2 linked regions of the Elephas maximus indicus genome follow. The protein of the gene in region 1 purifies or fractionates together with the protein of each later gene. This does not show direct contact. Links are inferred from orthologs where the notes say so. Each region holds a gene or a part of one and is shown on either strand. Other genes may lie near its edges.

Evidence for each region.
Region 2: the proteins of RAD23B (region 1) and PSMB2 purify together in Homo sapiens (affinity purification with western blotting; 3 studies listed by BioGRID, with this or other methods). This does not show direct contact. The link is inferred for Elephas maximus indicus from reciprocal best matches to the Homo sapiens genes RAD23B and PSMB2.

What each region holds. Positions count from the first base shown.
Region 1 is NC_064827.1:56,782,968-56,786,880, forward strand, and holds the start of RAD23B (UV excision repair protein RAD23 homolog B), read left to right. Parts: upstream 1-1,119; 5' UTR 1,120-1,534; coding exon 1,535-1,600; intron 1,601-3,913. UniProt on the Homo sapiens protein: Multiubiquitin chain receptor involved in modulation of proteasomal degradation. Binds to polyubiquitin chains.
Region 2 is NC_064821.1:76,948,152-76,952,064, forward strand, and holds the start of PSMB2 (proteasome subunit beta type-2), read right to left. Parts: upstream 2,517-3,913; 5' UTR 2,374-2,516; coding exon 2,283-2,373; intron 1-2,282. UniProt on the Homo sapiens protein: Non-catalytic component of the 20S core proteasome complex involved in the proteolytic degradation of most intracellular proteins. This complex plays numerous essential roles within the cell by associating with different regulatory particles.

The sequences.
Region 1 (3,913 bases):
GTTTAAAAAACAAACCCGTTGCTGACAAGTCAATTCCGGCTCAGTGACCCTAGAGGACAGAGCAGACCTGCCCCACAGGGGTTTCCAAGGAGCGGCTGGTGGGTTCGAACCGCAGACCTTTTGGTTAACAGCCGAGCTCTTTACCACTGGGTCACCAAGGCTCGTATAGCGCCTGGTGGATTTGAACTGCCAACCTTTTGGTTAGCAGCCATAGCACTTAAACACTACGCCACCAGGGTTTTCATATGTATAGGTGATAAATATTCCTGAAAGAAAAAAAAATAGAGCAGGATAACGGAGCTAGAGAGGTTGCGATTTTAAATAACGTAGCCGGGACACACCTCACTGAGGTGACATTCGAGCAAAGATGTGAAGGAGAAGAGAGAGCGAGGCATCCAGATATCTGGGGGAAGAGCCATCAGGGTGTGGGAAAAGAGAGTGCAAAGAAAGGCCCTTCGGCGGGAGCTCAGCATCCATCAACAACAAGCGGAAGAGACAGGAGATGCGATGCAAACTAAGGGTCTAGTAGCCACTTGTAAGAACCTTGAGTTTACGTTGGGTGACACGGGGAATCACCGGAGATTTCTGCGCAAAGGAGTGACGTAACTTAACCTCCGTTAGGTCCTTCTAGTTCGGCCCAAGTTCAGAAGGTTAGTAAGAAGAGAAGACAAAATGTGAGCCCGGGCAGTCTAGCATCGTACGTAGCCTGTGCTCTCAGGATTAAAGAATCAGTCAACATCACATAGCCTCAGGCGCGTAGCAGGGGCCCATCTCGGTGGTTACCTGGACCCTTTCACTTAAACTCCGCCCCGATCTACTGCCCTCTAGTTCTCCAGCTCCGGAGCTCAGCACCCACTTGGTCCGCTCTCCACGTAGCGATTCCCCGGCTACTAATTGCGCAACTCCGGCGGTCGGGGGGGCTCCGGGCGTAGGCGGGGCGGCGGCGGGCTGGGAGAACACCCGGGCTGCAGACACCACAGGGAAGCCCTGAGAGCCCAAGCGACGTCCTCGGTGTGCGCCTGCGTACGCCGGATCCCGGCCGCCGACATTCCAGAGCAGCAATACGCCCCGCCCCCAATTCTGGGGCGGAGTTCTTTACCACGCATGCGCATAGTCTCGCCGCACCCTACGCCTGCGCGCTTCGCCAGCCCGTCCCCATCCCCAGCTTTTCGGGTGGGGGAGGGGGGTGCGTCTCGGCGAGTCACGATGATGGCGGCGACCGTCGTGTGGTGAGCTAGCGGATTCCCTGCTTGTCGCTCAGAGCCCCTCGCACCTCTTGCAGACTCAGTGGCTGACGCCGGACGCGGCCGGAGCTCGCGTGGAAGGCCGCGGTCGCGGAGGCAGCGGCTCGGCCTGGGGCCAGGGCTGGGGGAGAGGCCGCTCCGCAGGGCGAATGTGACAAGCCCCCACCCCCACCGCTTTCCTCTTGAGTGTGCGAGGAACGCCGGCGACCCCAGGGCCCGGCCAGGCCACAGACCCCGCCCAGCGGCCAGCACCCGGAGCAGGCCCGGCAGTGGAGCTGCGCGGTGGCACCATGCAGGTCACCCTGAAGACCCTCCAGCAGCAAACCTTTAAGATCGACATCGACCCCGAGGAGACGGTACGAGCGGCGGGGAACACAGGGCCTGGGGTCGGGTGGAGCGGGGGCGGCCGCGCGCGGGCCTCGGGGAGCGTGAGGGGCCCGCCGGGCCTCGGTGGGGGCGGCACGGCGGCCGCTGCGCGCGGAACCGGGTCTCAGCCCCGAGAGGAGCCCTGCGACGCGCCCGGGCGGGGAGAGCCTTCAGCTCACCCACGAGGGCGCCGTGAGTGCGGGCGCGAGGTGCGGCCTGTGGGCTGCGGGCGCGATAGGGCCCAGGGTTCCGGCCTCGGACGCGTGCGTCGTGCCGGACCCTTCGGAGTTGGCCACCGGCTTTGTGGAGGGAGGATGGGAAGCAGTGGCTGGACGCCGAGGGCCTGGTGGCAGATGGCGGGAGCACGCCCGCGGGGCGCCGGAGGCCTCGGCCTGGGAGCTCGTGGTAGTGGGGCCGGAGGGGGAGGGGAGGTCGCGGCGGCCCCTGGAGCGAGCCGGGCTTTCTGGCGTAGGTTTACAGGTGGGGGAGGGAGATGAGGCGTCTGGACCTGAGTAGACCTGGTTAGGTTCTAAGGTCTAGGAGGTGGTAACCCGAGATAGCGAGCCTTAAAAAAAAAAAAGTATCAGGTTTCGCCTGCCGCAGTTTTCGGAGGTGAGTAGTGGTGAAAACGAATTCTTTGCTTCTTTTCCCTCCAGAGTTATTAAACCTTTTATTTGCATGTATCACGAATCCAGCCACCCAACACACATGCACATGCAGATTGCACGTTAAGGTCTCTTTGGTGGTGAAGATTAGAGCTCTTTAGATTCTGGCTCGGTCCCAACTCGAGATTTCATGGGTCCTCTGTTAGAAGTCTTGGAATTGGAGGAGTTGTATTGGAACCCTGTTCACGCCACCTCACCGCCCCCCCCCATAGTAGCATTTCAAGGGAGATATCCATATTTAAAAAATCTTTTAAATCTGTTCTGCAGTTAAACATTTCAAAAATCCGCATGATAAATTCTCAAGCCATTTTCTGTATTTGCGATTGCAAAAAGAGCAACTAAGTTGAAGTCAGTACAGTTTTATGCCAAAAAGCTAAAAGTGTCACGTGTGTAAATTTACTGCTTAGGTTCTGGAGTTGTTACGCTATACACAGTTAAGCAGTTTTCTGCCCATCTATATATTTTTTAAAAAATTGATTATATTTTTGTTGGAGATCAGGAGTCGTGGTGTTTATTAGATAGACTTGAATTCCGTCTGTGGGTCTGTAACTCTCTTAGTTTGGCCTGCTGTACAATGGGGAAAATTACTTGCCTTTTAGAGAGATGTGAGGACAAAATTGCATTTAACTGGTGGTCAGTAAATGGAATTATTACCCAGTGGATACCTCTTAGATACAGTGTTATGTTTTACCCTCTAATTTTATGAAGTTTTCTATGTCTTTAATTGTTTAAGAGACAGATTTCCCAACTTCTTTTGGAATTGTGACACAAGATGATTTGATTGCAAGACATTTCATTATATGTGGAAGTGTGGGTGCGATATATTCTTAATATAGGTGTGGGAAATATCAGTTAATGTGTGAGAAACTGAAGTGTTCTCAGGAGTATTTGACTGGATTAGTATTATAAATAGAAACAAAATTTTCCCAAACATTTCCTTACTGTTTAGTGTGTATTAATAAGTTGAAGGATGAAAGTTATGTTTTCAGACGCAGCTTTAGTTACTACTTCAAACTATTGTGTAGCTATACATAAAATGTCTATATGTTTTGGTTCTTTGTACTAATATATGTTGGTGCCAAAGTATCTTTACCGGAATTAATTCCACAATTACTGAAACCTAAAGAAGGTTTCTTTTTTCTTTTTGTGGTAACTAATGAGCCCTGGTGGCGCAGTGGTTAAAGCGATTGACTGCTAACTGAAAGGTCTGCAGTTCAAAACCGCCAGTCACTCAAAGGGAGAAAGATGTGGCAGTCTGCTTCTGTGAAGATTTACAGCCTCGGAAACCCTATGGGGTCGCTATAAGTCGGAATTGACTCTGCGGTGGGGTTGGTTGTTTTTTGTTGTTGTTTTGGTTATGTGTGGGTTTATTGAAGTTAAGCAGTGACTTTCCACAGCTCCAATGAAATATTTATGCTCTATGAGAGTTGTAAAGCTCTTTAGGTACTTACGCTATTATCTTAGAGCCAATATTATAATTGTATAGGTTCTTAATTATATTTGCTCTTTTCCAGTTTATTTCTAAGCGTATGTATATGAACTTGAAAGTATACTTTTAGGAGTTTATTTTCATAAAGCTCATTGTTACAGAGAGTGGCATCTTCAGCATTTTGTCTTAATTTGGCTGAATACTGTTAG
Region 2 (3,913 bases), on another chromosome or scaffold:
TGTTTTCAGCATTCTTGCCTACCCACACAGTTTCTTCAGGAAATGAATAGTAGGAAAAAGTCCTTATACAATTCCAAAGCTCCCATCATAAAAGTGTTTATGCCAGAAAAAACCATGGGGAAAATCAGAGTTGACTGCAATTATTTCCTATCATTTTTCAAGAACTAACTCAAATTCATCTTTCTTCTAAACCACATTGATCTTTCCTTTCTCTGAATGCCCTTAGGAATCACTGCTGAAATCATTAATTTAAAAACTAATACTGACTAGTGATACTTCTTTTATCATACAAAATCACCTTGTAATATGCATTTCCTTGTTTCCTTAATGTTTTGGACTAATCTATGTCTAATATGTTGTACACAAATAGGCTTAAAGCACATTTTACTTTTCAAAATTATTTCACATACATTGTCATGATAAAACAGAAGATTTGTAAAGATACTGACTTGGTTATTCTACTTAAAAACAGCTTCTAAATAATTTGCTTATCAAAAGGCTCAGTATTCAAAATAACGGACAAATTTATTCTCAAACAAAACAAATTTACTCCTTTGAAAGACTAGTTTACAAACAGAACTTCTACAAACTAATCATCTAATTTCATTAAGTAATTTCACTTGAGGAACAATCCATACAATAGATGTTTAATAAACCACTTTCAGGACTCTCTTCTTCAGGAAGACTAGAACACACAAGTGAAGTCCATCAGAGGTCATTCTACCTTTCCAGCCTGACAATCAGATGCCTGCTGAGGCAGCAGCTGTGAACACATTTTTTGCCTTTGTTCATACATACACTTTAAGAAACCTTGGATTTAATAATTTTTCTTTCTTTAAACCCAAGATGAACTGTCAGCTGCTCTCAAAGTTTTCTCTAAATCTCTACAACCAGAAAGAATCTTTTTCCTCTGGATTACCTGAGCACAATCTCTTCTTGCTCTGCATTACCTGAGAAGTTTGATTGTAGTTTTCATATAACACTTCATGTAATTATTGGTACACATATCCGAATCCCTTATTAAACTGTAACTTCTTTTAAGATTATACACCTAATAATCTTAGGATAGGGGTTGTTTCTCACTCTTCTTTGCATTCCCCCAGCACCTAGTACTGTAACGTACACATAGGTATCCAAAACCTGTCTGTCAAACCAACAATTAAATCATCTCTGAGACAAAGCAAAATGCTTTTTCAACAGTAGCACGTCTATGATCAGTCATGAAAACACACACTTAGATTTCTCATGTCAACGACCAAAATCTTTTTTGAAGTATTTGAGTATACACTGTAGGAGACAGTATAGTACAGCAAATATGGGCAAAAGGTCTGGAGTCACACCACATAAGTTTGAACCCTGGTTCTGCCATTCGTGACCTTGGGCAAGTTTCTTAACCTCTGTGCCTCAGAACTAACATCTGTAAAGTGGGGATGTAATAGTGCTTATCTCAAAAGGTTAAACGAATTAGTAAATCATTTTAAGCACATACATAATAAGTGCTTAGTAGTAGTATTGTTGTTGGATGTTATAGACTCGATTGCGACTCAAGCGACGCTATGTACAACCGACGAAACGCTGCCCGGTCCAGCACCTATAAATTACTACCAAGTATTTATCACTCTCCTGGGCGTTCGCACGTAATTTACCTCATTCACTCAATCCTCACAGCAATCTTGTGAGGCTGGTAATACTAATCTGATTTTACGGATTAGAAAATCTGGGCACTGTAAAGTAACTTGTACAAAGTCACAAAGCAAGAAAGCGACGGGGGCTGGAATCGTGTCTTCTAATTCTATTAACTACTAAAACATAAAGAAAACTTGGCAGCCAGTGCCCAGGAAAACTAGAAAAGGAGCATAAGAGCTGAGCCAAGGGAAGAGACAGCGGAAGAAAAGAAAATACTAAGCTTCTGGTCCCACAGTCTCACTCTCCCCAGGATTCCACGAAACTAATCTCACTGGTAGCGACAACAGGAAACTTACCAGGGGAGCCTAGTGCTGGGCAGCGGTTTAAGCACTTACAAACTAAACTCTCTTAGGCAACTCTCTCCTAGCAAGTATTTAGCGAAGGCCAGTGCACTGAGCACTGACCTAGGAGCCCTGGGAGGAATGGCTAGCAAGGTCGTAAGCTTGTCTGTCTCCTCAGCTCTAAAAGATAAGTGGATGGCAGGCCAGGGCGGGTCCTAACTTCCAGACGTCCCTGGTACCCCAACCCCCCGCCCCCGAACTCCCTTCTCTGCCCCAACACCCAGGCCCGGCCGGGCCTCCCCTGCTTCCTCTCACCGTCCTTCATCTGGACAATATTGCTGGCGGCCACCCGGTCGGAGGCGACCAGGACGTAGTCGGGGCCCTGGATGCCTATGAGGTACTCCATAGTGGCGGGAGGCCGGAGGCTGCAGGTTCTACAGAACGCACGTCTCGCTGGCTTCTCGGCCTCACCGGTGAGACAGCACAGCAGGTCACAGCTTCACGCGACGTAGGCCGCGCTACCGCCCCGGTCACCGGCGCTCTCGGATGACGTACAACTGTCGCGAGAGGTCGGAAAGCGAGTGTGGTGCTAGGTGTGTTAAATCTGCGTTTGCCTCTTGCCCTGACGGTGTCTCTTCCAGTAATGGCTCTGTAAGTTACTTTGTGCAACGCCCTATTTCCTTATCCGTAACCCCCCTGAGGGGGAAGTTACACACCATATATGAAGTGCCAACCACTTATGGGTGCCCTAAAGCGATGGTCCCAGGTGGCCGTTTCCCCTTGTTACCCGGTAAAACCTTTCCAAAAATCTCTTACCCGAAAGACGAATTGGAGAAAAAGTGAGAGGATTCCCTACTGAAACCTTGGTGGAGTAGTGGTTAAGAGCCATGGCTGCTAATCGAAAGGTTGGCAGGTCGACGGGATGCAGACCCCAAATTCTCGTTAAGACCAGACTTAATGGTCTGACACTAGAAGGACCCTGGTGGTCATGTCCCCCAGACCTTCTGTTGGCCCAGGACAGGAACTCTTCCCAAAGCCAACTCTTCAGACATGGATTGGACTGGACAATGGGTTGGAGAGGGATTCTGGTGAGGAGCGACCTTCTTGGATCAGGTGGATTCTTGAGACTATGTTGGCATCTCCTGCCTGGAGGGGAGATGAGAGGGTGGAGGGGGTTAGAAGCTGGCGAAAAGGACACGAAAAGAGAGAGTGGAGGGAGAGAGCAGGCTGTCTCATTAGGGAGAGAGTAATTGGGAGTGTATAGCAAGGTGTATATAAATTTTTGTGTGAGAGACTGAGTTGATTTGTAAACTTTCACTTAAAGCACAATGAAAATTATTAAAAAAAAAAAAAAAAAAGGTTGGCAGGTCGAATCCACCAGGTGCTCCCTGGAAACCCTGTGGGGCAGCTCTACCCTGTGCTGTAGGGCCGCTATGAATCCGAATCGACGACAACGGGTTTGAGGGTTTTTTTTGTTTGTTTGTTTTTATTAAAGACGCAGCATGAAGGTGAATCATAAAAACAGCGGGAAAAAAATAGAATATTTTGATAGTCTTCGGAAGGGACACGTGCTTATGACAGGAAACCCAGAAGCAAGTTGGGGGGGGAAGAGGGGGGACAGAACCAAAACCAAACCAGTTGCCCTTAAGTTCATTCTGACCCATGTGTATCAGAATAGAACTGGGTTCCATAGTGTTTTCAGTGACTGATTTTTGGAAGTAGATCACTAGGCCTTTCTTTGGAGGAGCCTTTGGGTGGACTCAAACCACCAACCTTTTGGTTAGCAGCTGAGCACAAAACCATTTGTGCCACCCAGGGACCCCCATATAGAAAAAGACTGGCAGGTATGACTATATAAAATTGCAAGTTTCAGTGGCATGAAAAGGAAACCCTAGTGGTGTAGTGGTTAAGAACTACAGCTGCTAACCAAAAGGTCAGCAGTTCAA